2 linked regions of the Anolis sagrei genome follow. The protein of the gene in region 1 interacts with the protein of each later gene in a pairwise test. Links are inferred from orthologs where the notes say so. Each region holds a gene or a part of one and is shown on either strand. Other genes may lie near its edges.

Evidence for each region.
Region 2: the proteins of LZTS2 (region 1) and TNIP3 interact in binary tests that used the Homo sapiens proteins (3 or more experiments, as listed by UniProt). The two-hybrid records come from large-scale screens. The link is inferred for Anolis sagrei from reciprocal best matches to the Homo sapiens genes LZTS2 and TNIP3.

What each region holds. Positions count from the first base shown.
Region 1 is NC_090023.1:215,471,266-215,475,540, reverse strand, and holds the start of LZTS2 (leucine zipper putative tumor suppressor 2), read right to left. Parts: upstream 2,794-4,275; 5' UTR 2,358-2,793; intron 1,734-2,357; 5' UTR 1,684-1,733; intron 1-1,683. UniProt on the Homo sapiens protein: Negative regulator of katanin-mediated microtubule severing and release from the centrosome. Required for central spindle formation and the completion of cytokinesis.
Region 2 is NC_090025.1:36,193,963-36,198,237, forward strand, and holds the start of TNIP3 (TNFAIP3-interacting protein 3), read right to left. Parts: upstream 2,900-4,275; coding exon 2,873-2,899; intron 1-2,872. UniProt on the Homo sapiens protein: Binds to zinc finger protein TNFAIP3 and inhibits NF-kappa-B activation induced by tumor necrosis factor, Toll-like receptor 4 (TLR4), interleukin-1 and 12-O-tetradecanoylphorbol-13-acetate.

The DNA.
Region 1 (4,275 bases):
CTTTGATTGTAGGTGAACTATAAATCCCAGCAACTACAACTCCAAAATGTCAAGGTTTATTTTCTCCAAACTCCACCACTGTTCATATTTGGGCATATTGAGGATTTGTGCCAAGTTTGGTCCAGATCCATCATTGTTTGGACCCACAGTGTTCTCTAGATGTAGGTGAACTACAACTCCAAAACTCAAGGTCAATGCCCACCAAAACTTTCCAGTATTTTCTCTTGGTCATGGGAGTTGTGTGTGCCAAATTTTGTACAGTTCCATCATTGGCGGAATTCAGATTGTATGTTGACGATAAATCCTAGCAATTATAACTCCCAAATGACAAATTCAACCCCCACCAATCCCACAAGTATTCAAATTTGGGCATATAAGGTATTTGTGCCAAATTTGATCCAATGAATGAAAATATATCCTGCATATCAGATATTTACATTATGATACATAACAGTAGCAAAATTACGGTTATGAAGTAGAAACGAAAATAATGTTAGGGGTCACCACAACATGGGGAACTGTATGAAGGGTTCCTGGCATTAGGATGGTTGAGAACCACTGCTCTATGAACTACCATGGAGGTTAAGATCTTCTGGGGAGGCCCTTCTGGTCCTACCTACTTCACAGACATGATTGGTGGGGATGAGAGACAGGGCCTTCTCAGTGGTGGCCCATCAATTATGGAACTCCCTCCCCAACAAAATTAGATCAGCTCCCTCCCTCCTGACCTATAGAAAGAAATCAAAAACTTGGCTATGGGACCAAGCCTTCGGATAGTAACTCAGTGCAATAAGAGGATACGAAATAATTTCAACATGATTGAAATGGATCCTGGACTATGACTTTGGATTTGTGTGGTGTTAATAATTCATTTTAATGCATAGATTTTTTTCTTAACTTTTATAGTTTAAATATATAGCCTTATTGTTCTTATATGTTTGTTTATATGGCACTGAATTGTTGCCAATCTGTAAGCCGCTCTGAGTCTCCTTCGGGGTGAGAGAGGGCAGGGTATAAATAAAGTAAATACATAAATAAATAAACAATTACAAGCAGATAATATAAAACAGTGGTATAAAACATATTAAAGTTGGATGATAATGCATAATGTCCTTGCACAGTTGAGCTAATTACCTTACATAGTGAGGAAAAAGACTTTATTCAATCCACAAGAGACACAGTTCAACACAACATTGCCAAGAAGTGTGTTGGTGAGTACCATCCTGGACTGTTGTCATTTAAATGTATATGATTACTTTGTTTGATTAGTTTTACATTCTCCAGAATAACCATAGACTATCAGTCCAGTGACAAATACAAATTTGAGAAGAGCAAAGAAAAAAATCAAAATAACAAAATAATGAGAAAGGAAAGATGTGGGGGGAGGAAAAGGGTGCCCTCCACCTACAAGTGAAGTCATGCTCTATTTCAAACAAATCTGCTAGGCTTTGATCTAATCAGAAAGTGCCTGATACCTATCAGACCTACTCTTAAAGTCAACTAGTTTGCATTGCATGTGAACAGAGAGCTATCTAAAGTTAAACAAAGAACAGCACCCCCAAGGCACCTCATAGCAACCCAATGGTTCCAGCCATGAAAGCCTTCAACAACAGACCTCCATTCAGTTTACAACTCATATCTTTCCCTCAAAAGCCCTATAAACTTCTTCCTCACACAACTTACCTGCCTCAAGTTTTGAAAGTGAAGTAAATTCCCCGGATACCACCTTTCTCCTGAAATACCAAAAATACTAAAGTTTAAAAACTAAAATTATACAATAGGGTGTTTGGCATATGCTTTACACAATAAATCAGGATTGCAGGTACGTAATGACAGAAGTTCCCATAGCAAACTAATAAACTCCAGAGCTGCTGCTAATTCCTTATCCAAAAGCAAAAAGAAGACGATGTACTCAATATGGTCTAAGAACTGAATACAGAGAGCCATACTTTGTTAATAACAGTCAGTACTTTGACGCTTCAACCTCCACATTAGCCATTAAAACAGTTCTTTCTTGTTCACTTTCCTGTTCAAATTTAGCAATGCTTCACTTTACCCCCCTATTTTATTTGCACTTAGACATTCAGCTGCTTCAAAATGGTGTTCCCCGCCCAAAAAGCCAGCTCTGAGATCCAAATTTCAAACACAAGCACAGCCAGAGTTTGTTTGCTTGTTTTCTCTCCCCTGAAATTTGTTGTAGGATGATCAGGAGAGGGAGGGACGGCTTTAGGCAGCACTGCATCTCAAATTGTGCCAAAGAATATTGAACGGCAACACCAACAACTCTGCCTTGCATCCTGTATACAGTACATTTTGGCATGCAGAGAGGGAGGGGAAGAGAAGAAAGAGATACATACCAAAAATGCAACCTCAGTCAACAGCTGCCAGACTTCTGGACCAGAAGAGAAACCCCTGGAGAAGCTTCTCGGTGCAGGAAAATGGCAGAGGAGGCTGGCCACCACATCTTGCAAGAGTCAAACCACTTGTGATTGAAAGTTGACTCCTGCTGCTTGCCCTCTTTGCTAACATTACCAACTCTCCTCCAAAACCAGAGAAAGGCTGGAGGAATTGGCCCACGTCACAGCCAAACATTCCTCCCCAGCTAATCACAGGCCAGGCGGGGAGGAGCGGCTGTCGCTTCACATTTCTTCCCTGCTAACCACTGGGTTTGTGTGTGCGTGTTCCCACATGTGCGGTGCACATCACGTTCTCATTGGTTTCCTCGCCCGCTTCAAGACATAACCCAGAGAGAGACACTCCAAGTCCAGGCACATGAGCCACCAAACTTAGGATCCAGGCTAGAAGGCAGCTATCTGTAAAGATTTGCTTCTTTCCTGCACCTGGCACAGAAGAGTGCGCAAAACCTCTTGGATGTGGGCCAAAGGAAAGCCCTGGGGATTTTCTTCCTCCTACTCTCTGGCTGGCATACAAAACAAACTAAGCAGGAGCCCCATAGTCTTCTCTACTCTTGCCCACCTCAGTCCCCCCTGCTTTAAAAGTCCAAGCATCACATTACAGACCCTTTCGTGCTCCAAACACAAAGCAGAGCCAGATCATTCCCTAGCACTCAATGAACTACTCCCTGAGCAGCTGCTGTCGGCAGGAAATCTTCCACTGACTGCCACACAGCTGAAAGACCGAGCTCTGAAGAACAGCCTGAACAGCCTCGAAAAAGCCTGCTAGCATGTATTTGTCAACAAATGTTGACCCAATTAAAAATGGCCATCTTACTCCTTACTTTCTCACAGGCTTTTGAAGCAGATAAGACCGGTCTGGGAAGAAAACATTCATCCTAAGACTTTCTGTCCTCTGTCAAATTCTTTGACTCTTGGGTTGTATGTATGTATGGTCATGTTCCAGAAGCATTCTCTCCTGACATTTTGCCTGCATCTATGGCAGGCATTCTCAGAGGTCTGCTGGACACTAGGAAAATCGAGTTTTTATATGTGTGTGGAATGTTTATATATCTGTGGAATGTCTACATAGGGACCACCAAACGCAGCATTGCCCAAACAGGAATCAAGGAACATGAAAGGCACTGCAGACTACTTCAACTAGAGAAGTCAGCCATAGCAGAGCACCTGATGAACCAACCTGGACACAGCATATTATTTGAGAACAGAGAATTCTGGGCCACTCTAACAACCACCATGTCAGACTACACAGAGAAGCAATGGAAATCCACAAGCATGTGGGCAATTTCAACAGAAAGGAGGAAACCATGAAAATGAACAAAATCTGGTATTTAAAAACTCTAAAATCATAACAGTAAATAAAGAACAATACTCAAACACAGGGGAATTCCAGACAAGAAAATCTGGGTCAACTAATCACCTCCCAACAAAAGATTCCCCCAAGCAGTAGGAAGCCAAACCTTGAAACTGCTAGGCCATTAAATGCTAATCAAGGTGACCAATTGAAACATTCACATTCACTACCTCAAACAGGCAACAGTTCTTTCTCCCACCCTGGACATTCCACAAATATATAGATCCCATTTTCCTAGTTTCCAACAGACCTCACAACCTCTGAGGATGCCTGAGATACATGCAGGTGAAACGTCAGGAGAGAATATTTCTGGAACATGGCCATACAGCCTGGAAAACATAACAACCCAGTGATTCCAGCCATGAAAGCCTTCAACAATTCTTTGAATCTTGTCATCATTATAAAAGTGAGGTTTTTCCAAGGAACAAGTGAGAAAAGGCATAGGCAAACTTGGGCCCTCCGGCAGCTGAGGGGGGAAAGGGCCCCAAGGCTGTTAGGAATTGTGGG
Region 2 (4,275 bases), on another chromosome or scaffold:
CCATTAGTACTAGTCTGGTTAGCAAAATGTATTTTAAATGTATTATTTCTGCCTCATCTCTCAGTGGATATCTAGGGCAATTCACAAAATAGAGCTAAAATCATAGCATAAAAAGATATAAATTACAGGAGAGTTGATGATTGCATAACTAGTTTTGAAAAGACTAATAATTGGTTTGTTGTTTATTCGTTCAGTTGCTTCTGACTCTTCATGACCTCATGGACCAGCCCACATCAAAGCTCCCTGTTGGCCATGGACACTTCCAGCTCCTTCAAGGTCAAGCCAGTCATTTCATTTTCCCCTAGCATCTTATCCAAACTTTCCTGTCTTCTCATTATGTGGCCAAAGTACTTTGCCTCTAATATCCTTCCCTCAAGTGAGCAGCCAGGCATTATTTCCTGGAGTATGGACTGGTTTGATCTTCTCGCGGTCCAAGGCACTCTCAGAATTTTCCTCCAATACCACAGTTCAAAAACATCTATCTTCCTTTGCTTAGCCTTCCTTATGGTCCAGCTTGCACATTCATAGGTTACTACCAAGAATACCATTGTTTTAACTATGCAAATCTTCGTTGCCAGTGTGGTGTCTGTTCACTATTTTATCAAGATTGTTCATTCCTCTCCTCCCAAGAAGTAAACGTCTTCTGATTTCCTGGCTGCAGTCTGCGTCTGAAGTAATATTTGCACCTAGAAATACAAATAAATGGATCCTAGAGCAAATCAAGCCTGAAACCTCCCTAGAAGTCAAGATGACTTAACGGAAGCTGTTGTAATGAAAATACATTACTCTATTTTTTTTAAAAAAAAAAACAATAATGGTAAGGTAGATAGAAGTATCGCTCCAGCAGGAAGGTAATGGCGCTCCATGCAGTCATGCCGGCCACATGATCTTGGAGATGTCTACGGACAATGCTGACTCTTCAGCTTAGAAATGGAGATGAGCACTGCACCCCAGAGTCAGATACGACTGGACTTAATGTCAGGGAAAAAACTTTACCTTTTTAGATAGAAGTAGGAAAAGAGGAGACCATATATTCCAGAAGGTTTGACTAAAGCTGGATTTACACTTCCATATAATGTGGTTTCAGAATGCAGATTAATTGCATTGAAGTGGATTGTATGAGTCTATACTGCCATATAATCAGTTTCAATGTAGTTAATCTGCATTCTGAAACTGCATTATATGGCAGTGTAGATCCATTCCTAGTCAAGGAAATCTAAGCAGATCTATTGAAGATAAGAGAAGTCTTTCATTCATAGGGTTGCCATAAGTCAAAGTCAACTTGAAGACAGGTAACAACAACAACAAAGAGTTTACTACTGCTAATCTTGATCTCTTGGCAGTTTATCATTCTAGTTGATACAATGCTTATTATTTACCATTGATATTTTTAAGGAAAATCTGTCTAAAAGCATTAAAATGGTGAAAAGCCCCAAGTAATGAGAAAGTAATAGGAAAAAGTAATGAGCAAACACAACTAAGCACATAAATTAAAAAACTACTCCATAAAGTGGAGTCCACGACATGCGAGTGTGGAGAAGAGCAAACCACAGACCACCTACTACAATTCAGTCTAAGCCCTGCCACATGCACAATGGAGGACCTTCTTATAGCAACACCAGAAGCACTCAAAATAGCCGGCTACTGGTCAAAAGAAATGTAGTATAATGCTAAGTTTTTTAAACTTTGTGTTTTTTAAAATTATCACAACTGTACCCTCAGTTCGCTTCTAATATGACAAATAAAAAAATATGATAAATAAATTACTTCCAAGCTTAAAAACAGCATGCAAACTTTTTAATTTTTTTTAAACGAAACCTATAAAATAAAACTGAAGTAGGAAAATTTTATTGGAAATCTAGAAATTAATGATAAAACTACCATAGTGTTATAGCATTGTTATCTAGCTATCTACTGTATCTGTATAAAAGAAGACAAATACAAACTTTAAAAAAAATTAAAGCATTGAAAAACTCAGGAGAATTTTTTAAAAATTGCATAAATGTACTTTGCTGGATTCTCTTTATGTCCTTCTAATGCAAGGGGATTTAGTCACAATCCATATTAATCCAGTGGGATCCACTTGGTGTTTTAACCCACCTGTGTCTAAAATCAGAGTAAATGTTACATTTATTTCTCCCTCTTTCTCCTTTAATGATCAAAATATTTCATTCTTTGTATTTATATTAGGAAAGGCTGAGGCTGATTTCTTGTTTTTACTTGAGAAGAGTATAAACACTGAATAATTTTTGATCTGAGGCTCTGATTTCTGTTGGATAAAGAGATGTTATGCTTGGATATGTACTCATAAAATTATGAAGCAACTGAGTACTTAGACACCGGGGAACAGGCAGGAAAAACAAACACAGTCAAAGCAAGGTGGAAGGGAAGTGTTAAAATGAATTATTTTGCTATCATTTATTTTAAAGAGGGTCTTCGTCATGCTTTGGACACCACGAGAGTTCCACATTTACAAGTGTCTGGGGTATTAAAAAGGATATAGCAGGCATTCCATCGCTTATAAAACTGTAAAATAATTGTTTAAGCTCATTAACATTATATGTTGCATATATGGCATTCTCTGTCAGGATAGAATCTTACGCCATCCCAGACACATCTGTTTGCACATCTGATCTTAGAAGAGAGTTAACAGCTGGAACAGGAAATGGAACAGTCTAGTTGTCTTCCCAAGACTATTAGGGCTAACTGCTAATTAAATACATTTTAGTTGATGGTTGGTTTCTTTAGAAAATGTGAATAAAGAAATGCTGTTCAAGCCTCATCTACACTGGCCAGTTAATCCAGAACCAGTCTGTAGCAGAACCAGTCTGGTCCGAGTCCAGAGATTGCATCAGCCCTGCTGGACCATCACCTTACCATTCATGTTGCTGTCCTTCATCCCTGTCCTTCTTTCTGGTTATGCAGGCACCTTTGCTGATGCAAGCAGGTAGTGCCTGCATTGACCAGAAATTCATACAGAGCTCATCTGATCCTCTGGAGGGCACAACAGCAGTGACATGGGCCCAATCCATCTCCTGCCCAGATGAAGTGGAAAGGGAAAAAAGAGACTTTGAGTTGTGGTTGCAAAGAAGAGAAGATGATGGAGATGGCAGAAGGGAAGGCAGAAGGTGCAGCAAGTGATCGCAAGATGCAAGAGATGGCCTGTGGGGCAGCATGACCCACATTTAGGAACTTATTCTGATATGTATTGTCGAAGGATTTCATGGCCAGAATAACTGGGTTGTTGAGGGTTTTTCGGAATGTAAGGCCATGTTCTGGAAGCATTCTCTCCTGACGTTTCACCTGCATCTATGGCAGGCATCCTCTGAAGTTGTGAAGTCTTCTGATATGTTCATGCATCCATGACTTTTGGGCATCAGTAAGAAAACTGAAGGGAAAAACAAAAATACAAAAATAATGGACAATACAGTCCATTACAAGTGTCTGTCCATGACAAAACATGGTTGGTATTTTTCACATTATGAATATACAGAGGCAGCCCTAGGTAATTTTCAACAGTAAGCAAACTGTATTTTGGCACCACCCCCGCCCCCCAACCAATCATTGATATATATTTTCTGTTCGTCGTGAGAGTTCTGTGTGCCATATTTGGTTGAATTCCATCATTGGTGGAGTTCAGAATGCTCTTTGATTGTAGGTGAACTATAAATCCCAGTAACTACAACTCGCATATGTCAAGGTCTATTTTCCCCCAAGAGCATCTCAAGAGCGCCCCTGGGCAAAATCAACTATACTGCAAATGCTTACTTTGCGTAATGGGTTGAGCTGCCCCTGTGAATATACTTCACATGGTTCTTCTCCAACAAATAATCTCCACAACAATTTTGTGAGCTAGATTTGCTGAGAGGTACATAATTAGCAGAATTTTACATTGCATTCAAATGGATGGCCCCAATTTGAAGTGCTGGAATATGGCAACCTGAGTTTAGATGACATGATGGCTTGCAAATATTTCATAGTGTGCCATATCTAGCATTACCACTACACCAGTATGCAACTATGCCTACACAACCTGATAAAAAACCTGATAGATACTGTAACACTGCAACGATTGTGGGAAAGATATTCTTGCAATGCCACTTTGGATGTTGAACACTTTCTCACCATCATAGATGATGCCCTCTAAGCTGTGGCCAGGAAGCATGTGCTTCCAAAAGTAGCAACAAGTAATAGTAGTGGAGATTCATAGCATTCAAGGATTGTACAAGTGTTGGCAAGCAAACTTGTCTTAATATGTGGATCACAGCAGTTTAA